Arabidopsis thaliana: one gene and its partner. The protein of the gene in region 1 purifies or fractionates together with the protein of each later gene. This does not show direct contact. Each region holds a gene or a part of one and is shown in the gene's direction. Other genes may lie near its edges. The genes, in order: AGP31 and STRS2.

The links.
Region 2: the proteins of AGP31 (region 1) and STRS2 fractionate together in Arabidopsis thaliana (co-fractionation; one large-scale study listed by BioGRID). This does not show direct contact.

What each region holds. Positions count from the first base shown.
Region 1 is NC_003070.9:9,889,324-9,893,251, reverse strand, and holds the start of AGP31 (arabinogalactan protein 31), read left to right. Parts: upstream 1-2,236; 5' UTR 2,237-2,408; coding exon 2,409-3,177; intron 3,178-3,610; coding exon 3,611-3,921; 3' UTR 3,922-3,928. UniProt on the Arabidopsis thaliana protein: Proteoglycan that may contribute to the strengthening of cell walls.
Region 2 is NC_003076.8:2,792,508-2,796,435, forward strand, and holds the start of STRS2 (DEA(D/H)-box RNA helicase family protein), read left to right. Parts: upstream 1-1,880; 5' UTR 1,881-2,032; coding exon 2,033-2,274; intron 2,275-2,368; coding exon 2,369-2,475; intron 2,476-2,598; coding exon 2,599-2,654; intron 2,655-2,751; coding exon 2,752-2,976; intron 2,977-3,372; coding exon 3,373-3,579; intron 3,580-3,653; coding exon 3,654-3,740; intron 3,741-3,829; coding exon 3,830-3,925; intron 3,926-3,928. Other genes in the region: PDE340 (P-loop containing nucleoside triphosphate hydrolases superfamily protein), read left to right, coding at 1-199, 274-360, 449-544, 624-839, 924-1,106, 1,325-1,552.

The sequences.
Region 1 (3,928 bases):
TTTACACGTACAATTTATAATCTTAAGAGATTGGGGAAACAAATCACCAATAAATTTGCAACAATGATATTATCCTATAATTATAGACTAATGAAAATTTATATATACACAAAAATGTAAGGGCAAAGACTACCACGAAAGTAGCCATATTTCTTGGAGGGAAATGTGGTAAGTTCACGATGCATACTTTTTTGGGCGTATTTATTATTTTTATTAAATTCAGTAAAACGTAAAAGCAAAGAGAATCATTCCAACGACAAGAATGATTAGTCTACTATGTAAATGTAATGATACATCATCGCGTTATCGGATTTAAACATTTAAACAATTATGGCCCATAATTGTGTTATATCTCTAGTGAGACGTTTAGACCAAAGCATCCAAAGATAGGTTTTATTTGAAGAATAAAAAATTGATAGGGTGGGTGGGTCCAATATTGGGTCCATCATTTTTTTTCCATACTTTTGCAGGTAACACGAAAATGTAACATGACATGTCTCTCTCCGGACAAAAACATTTCTCCCACAACTGTAATAATTTAAGTTACCAGTTCGTGAATATTACTGATCATTGTAGAAATGGTGGGGTAAGACCTACTCGTGAATCGATTTAGAAGTTTTAAAATTAATCTTTACACAGAAAAAAACAAAAAAAACATTCAGACAAACAACAGGAAAAATATCTAAGCGTAATTTGTTTAACTATTTGAAGAACAGTAATCTCAATAATGATGGATTCAAATTTGAATATATTTGGCTTGTTAAGAGATGAGTAATTTTTGTATTATAGAGTTGTCTTATGTATTTAGTATGTTATCAGCAGCTGACTTGTGTAAGAATATTAGACTTACGTGACCAAACTTTAATGTATTATGTTACTTGTTTTTAGCAAAAAAAAACATTAAATCGTATTATGAAAATAAATGTTCTAAAGCAATTGAGCGACATGTGCTATTCAATGCAGCAATTACGCTCAAAGTCTCCCGAAGATCTCATTCAGTGATCTATTATAAGAAAATAGTGAAAAAAACACATCAGATTTACATAAATGTGGTTCCATTAATCACAATGTATCAAATGAAAGTTTTGTTTGCTCTTCATATAAGTAATGGCAAAGTCACTTCGACTCTCTACTTAGTATATAGAAAATAATTGAATACTACATGTTTAGTAGGACAATTGTTGAAATACTTTTATAGAATGGTAGCTTAACCTGTGTCACAAATGCCAATCAAAATGTTATACATACTACTTTCAAAACAAAATTGTTTGACATAATCCAAAAAAAATTCAATCAATTATGCAAACCAGATTTGGTAATTTATAACTTCGGATTACAATCAACATCGATAGTATACAATCACGAATCAGATGCCTGACTACTATATCAAAGTTTTTTACTATCTCATATGTGAATTATGGTACTAAATTCCTTTAAAAAAAATTAATGCCTGTTATTACCATCACTTATGATTTTTCTAAATACATAGATAAAAATTATCAAAAACTTTTGCATGTTAGCTTGGATTTCAAAACAAAATTGCTTTCTTTGATATAATGTCAAAACAAAAAGTTCACAAAACAAATTATAATGACAATTCAAATTCAACATTACTATTACTCATGCTATAAAACAATTTCCTAAATTTTATAGTATCCCAATATCTTACTTTTGTTAAAGTATTTACTAATGTTCACTTTATATGGATCACCAGTGATAATAGTAAAGTTATTGTGTGTGACTATATATCTTTTTTTTTTTTTTGTGACTATATTATTCAACAAATTGTTTTTTTTTTTTGATAAAAATACACCAACTTGACATATCTTAGACGATCTAAACACACATCAACTAATTAATAGGCGATCTAAATCTTACTTATATTAAATCTAATTTTATTATCATAAAAAAAAAAGATCTTACACTTATTAGTCCTTTTTTATATATTTTAGACGACAAATGTTTACTAGATGGGTAAAGATTTTTTTTTTGGTAAAATTGGGTTAAGATCTTTTTAACATTGGTTCACCAGGGATGTGACTTTTGTTTGGTCGTAATAGTAGAAAATTTGCATATCACATTTTTTCAGATGTGTAGGAAACAATGACCATTTTAATGTTGTTGGATAACTAAAGTTTTCCATCTTGAATATCTATCAGAAGAAAAAAAGAGTAACAAAAAAAAGAGAGTAACAAAATGGTACTAGTGACTTTTTTTTTTTTTTTTTTTTTGGGCACAAAATGGTACTAGTAACTAATAATGGGGTAATTCATGTCGATCGATTTTGATTTACTATTTACAAATAAAAGGGAGTAATTTCATGACACTCGAAGCGTGAACCTTCCACCTATATATACACCCATTTCATAATCTCAAAACATATCACTAACCCAAAAACAAAACAAAAAATGGGTTTCATTGGTAAGAGTGTATTAGTGAGTCTCGTAGCACTTTGGTGCTTCACTTCCTCTGTCTTCACTGAAGAAGTGAACCATAAGACTCAAACCCCTTCTCTAGCTCCTGCTCCTGCTCCTTACCACCACGGCCACCACCACCCACACCCTCCTCATCACCACCACCCTCACCCTCACCCTCACCCCCACCCACCGGCCAAATCTCCTGTTAAACCCCCGGTTAAGGCACCAGTGTCTCCACCAGCCAAACCTCCGGTTAAGCCCCCGGTTTACCCACCCACCAAAGCCCCGGTGAAACCCCCAACTAAACCCCCGGTCAAGCCACCTGTTTCCCCACCAGCCAAACCTCCGGTTAAGCCACCAGTTTACCCTCCAACCAAAGCTCCAGTTAAGCCCCCAACTAAACCCCCAGTCAAGCCACCAGTTTACCCTCCAACCAAAGCCCCGGTTAAGCCCCCAACTAAACCCCCAGTCAAGCCACCAGTTTACCCTCCAACCAAAGCCCCGGTTAAGCCCCCAACTAAACCCCCGGTCAAGCCACCAGTTTCCCCACCAGCCAAACCTCCAGTTAAGCCCCCGGTTTACCCTCCTACCAAAGCTCCGGTTAAGCCTCCGGTTTCTCCTCCGACGAAGCCACCTGTTACACCGCCGGTTTACCCGCCTAAGTTCAACCGTAGTCTAGTCGCCGTTCGGGGTACGGTTTACTGCAAAAGCTGCAAGTACGCTGCTTTCAACACACTCTTAGGCGCTAAACCCATCGAAGGTTTGAACTATTTTCTTTGTTAATTACTACTATTTCTTCCACTTCATTATTCAGTTTATTCACTCATACATGAGACATACCTCAGTAACAATCTCTCAAACAACTCAACTTGGCTCTGCATACGCATTCAAACAGTGTATATATCTATAAAATAATACGTACTTCATATCTTAATCATGACGCATATTTCAGAAAATAATTCAAATTTGAAAACGTTACAAGTGGGACCTTTGTTACGTAAGTAGTCAATGTTTCGAAAATAGGTGTGAAATAAAGAGAGTGACTATGTACACTTCTGCACTCATCAGTCACTGTTTTTTACAGTCTGGCCAATAAATTTCACTACTTCCCACAAAAATAATTAAAAACACATAACTATATCCTTTTATTCTATAAACATATCGGACTAATATTTTTTTATGGGTTTGTGCAGGTGCTACGGTGAAACTAGTGTGTAAGAGCAAGAAGAACATAACAGCGGAGACGACGACAGACAAGAACGGATACTTCTTGTTGTTGGCTCCTAAGACGGTGACGAACTTCGGTTTCAGAGGATGTCGTGTGTATTTGGTGAAATCAAAGGACTACAAATGCAGCAAAGTCTCAAAGCTCTTCGGTGGAGATGTCGGCGCTGAACTTAAGCCTGAGAAAAAGCTGGGAAAATCTACGGTGGTCGTCAACAAGCTCGTATACGGTCTCTTTAACGTTGGTCCATTTGCCTTTAACCCGTCTTGCCCCAAATGAAGATGAT
Region 2 (3,928 bases), on another chromosome or scaffold:
GGCTACACCTGGAAGGCTCAAAGACCATATTGAAAACACTTCTGGATTCGCAACAAGATTGATGGGTGTGAAAGTCCTTGTGCTTGACGAAGCTGATCATCTCTTGGACATGGGTTTCCGAAGGGACATTGAGAGGATAATTGCCGCTGTTCCTAAGCAGAGACAAACATTTTTATTTTCTGCCACCGTACCTGAAGAGGTTACTGTCACTTTCTAGTACAAAGGCTCTCATTTTTTGGGTTGGAATCTTGAACTGTGTTTTTTGGTGTCAAGGTCCGCCAAATATGCCATGTTGCTCTGAAACGGGATCATGAGTTCATCAATTGTGTCCAAGAGGGCTCTGGGGAGACACATCAAAAGGTAAAAGATTTCTCTTTAGCTTAATTTGAGTGAATGGCCTGCCATATGATTGGATGTTATCAGTTTCTTATGTTTGTTTTATCTCCAGGTCACACAAATGTACATGATTGCATCACTGGATAGACATTTTTCGCTTCTACATGTGCTTCTTAAAGAACACATCGCAGATAATGTGGACTATAAGGTAACATTATCTCTCTAGTGCCATTATGAATAACCAATGTCTGTATTTCTGAACTATCCCGATTTCGTTGCTGTTGTAGGTTATCATTTTCTGTACAACTGCTATGGTGACAAGATTGGTGGCTGATCTGCTTAGTCAGCTAAGCCTGAACGTCAGAGAGATCCATTCTAGAAAACCGCAGAGTTACAGAACCAGAGTTTCTGATGAGTTCCGCAAGTCCAAGGCTATTATCCTAGTCACATCTGATGTATCTGCTCGTGGTGTGGATTACCCTGATGTGTCATTGGTCGTACAGGTAACCATAGTTTTCTGACATGGAATTGTTCTGCGACTACAAATTTTATCTCTTTTGTTTAACTGAAGTTGTTTGCTTTTGCAGATGGGATTGCCATCAGACAGGGAGCAGTATATACATAGACTTGGCAGAACCGGGCGGAAAGGGAAGGAAGGGGAAGGAGTCTTATTGTTGGCACCATGGGAAGAGTACTTTATGTCATCTGTTAAAGACTTGCCCATCACCAAGTCTCCACTACCGCCAATAGACCCAGAGGCTGTGAAAAGGGTAAGCATTTTCATATAAGCGCACTCACATGAATTTGTGATTCTACTGAACTTGGCAAGCCTTTCTTAACTCATATTTGCTGGCAATCCAGAATGAGTAGGGAACTTGAAACTGAACCTGAATCTCATAACACAACTCTTTGAAGTTAAAAGCTATGATTTTTGAAGGGTGTGAGTATGAGTGAGTATTGCTGGGTATAATAAACTTGTTGAATTCAGGTGCAGAAAGGGCTGAGCCAAGTGGAAATGAAGAACAAGGAGGCGGCGTATCAGGCGTGGTTGGGTTACTACAAATCTCAGAAGATGATTGCAAGAGACACGACCAGACTGGTGGAGCTGGCCAATGAGTTTAGCCGCAGCATGGGACTTGACAGCCCACCAGCTATCCCCAAAAATGTTCTTGGCAAGATGGGTCTCAAAAACGTTCCTGGTCTTAGAACCAAGTAGATTTTCTTTTTTCCTAGTGATCTGCTTTGGTTTTAAAACTTTAATGTTTTGTAAGTGTAGACGTGTAGTCTCTTGTCATTCTTGCTACACTCTTAAGACTTCCTAACTAAAAAATCCTATAAAAGTTGCCTTCTTATAAAGGTCTTTTGTTTGTAATGGCTTGTTAACATGAGTATTTCGATTTTCACTAAAAAAACAAAAAAAGTATTAAGTTGGATTATACGTGTTTGAAGATTTAACAAAACTTTTTTCTGATATAAAACAACACGTTTCAAAGCAAAGGGAGCAACTACATGCCGTTTTGTATATTTGTTGACATTTTGGGCCACTCGCATCTGTACCCTTAAGCCCTAAATTGTGTTTCCTACAAAACCTTTTAAACCCTAAAATAACCGACGGCGGGAATTTGGTAGTTGCAGAGCCTTACAGTTAAAGGCATACGCTTCACCGTTCTCTTCCGTCTTTTCTCCACTCGTTGGCATGAATTCCGATGGACCCAAATCCGGTAAGAAGAGACGAGAGATTCGTGCTAAACTTGTGAAGAAGTTGACGAGTGACGAAGATGGCTCGGGAAAGCTAGTCAAGGACAACAATAAGAGTCTAAAGAGGGGAAGAGAAGGCAAATCTGATGTTGATGAGCCTCTTATTAAGAAACCAGCTTCTACTACGCCTCTAGTGACTCAAATTGCTAAAACTTCAGATTCTTATTTGTCAAAGACAAGGTACATTTTTTGCGTTTCTTTCGGAGATAGCTTCAGAGCTATTCTTAGTGGTGTTTGATTCAGATTTCTCTTTATGGTAAAATGGTTCTTACAGATTTGATCAGTTCCCACTGTCTCCCTTAACGTTAAAAGGAATTGAGGATGCTGGATTTAAGACAATGACTGTTGTTCAGGAGGCTACTCTTCCTCTCATTCTCCAAGGTGAACTTGCCTAAAAGGCAGAAACTTTTGCATCTTTCTTCATGATTCCTTATGTTTTGTCATGACTTAAACATTTTGAAGCTTGACTATTCCTCTATTAATTATTCTTCCTTGGTTTTCCAGGTAAAGATATCCTTGCGAAGGCCAAAACAGGCACTGGGAAAACAGTTGCATTTTTGGTGAGATACCCTTTTTGGGTTCATGTTGGTCATTTAGGATTACAATCAGTTTGATTAATTGGGGTTTGTTATTAATGTTGATGTTTCTTTTTCCAAGCTTCCATCAATTGAAGCTGTTATCAAAGCTCCTCCTGCAAGCCGTGATAATAGGCATCCCCCAATTATTGTGCTTGTGGTATGTCCTACTCGGGAACTTGCTTGTCAAGCTGCTGCAGAAGCAAACATCTTGCTCAAGTATCACCCATCTATTGGTGTTCAAGTTGTGATTGGAGGCACTAAGCTTCCTACGGAGCAAAGGCGCTTGCAAAAGAGTCCTTGCCAGGTAAATTTTCATTTGTATTAATATGTAAACTTATTTCTGAGCAAATCATGCATTTCCATTGAGCTGGACTTCTCAGATGAAACTTGTTATCTGACCAATAGAGTTGCATATATTTCTTTTCAAACTGAGTTGGTTATCCTTCGCTAGAACAATATGGACTCATGATTTGAATTTCTAAGAATATGAATTAAGATAGATTGTTTTTTAAAAAGAAATGGATTTCCCTGTCCAAGTTAGGATTGTTTTTCAGTCACAGGATATGTTCTTTGATCTAAGCCTCATTATGCATTTAGATTTTTTTGCATTATTTGTCTTCCCTGCAGTCAAAGTGGCTGCAGAGATGGTGATCTTTGTCTCTGTATATTTTTGAATAATAACATATTTTCACACTCTCAGATTCTCGTGGCTACACCCGGAAGGCTCAAAGACCATATCGACAACACTTCTGGATTTGCAACAAGGTTGATGGGTGTGAAAGTCCTTGTGCTTGATGAAGCTGATCATCTCTTGGACATGGGTTTCCGAAGGGAAATTGAGAGGATAATTGCTGCTGTTCCTAAGCAGAGACAAACATTTTTATTTTCCGCCACAGTATCTGATGAGGTAAGTGTCAGTTTCTTGCACAAAGGCTTTCACTTTTGGGTTGGAATCTTGAACTGTGTTTTTTTGCTATCAAGGTCCGCCAAATATGCCATGTTGCTCTGAAACGGGATCATGAATTCGTCAACTGTGTTCAAGAGGGTGCTGGGGAGACGCATCAAAAGGTAAAAGATTGCTTTTTAAGTTCATTTGAACCAATGGCCTGCCATATGATTGGATGCTAATGGTTTCTCATGTCTGTTTTATCTCCCAGGTTTCACAAATGTACATGATTGCATCATTAGATAGACATTTCTCGCTTCTATATGGTCTTCTGAAAAAACACATCACAGATAATGTGGGCTATAAGGTA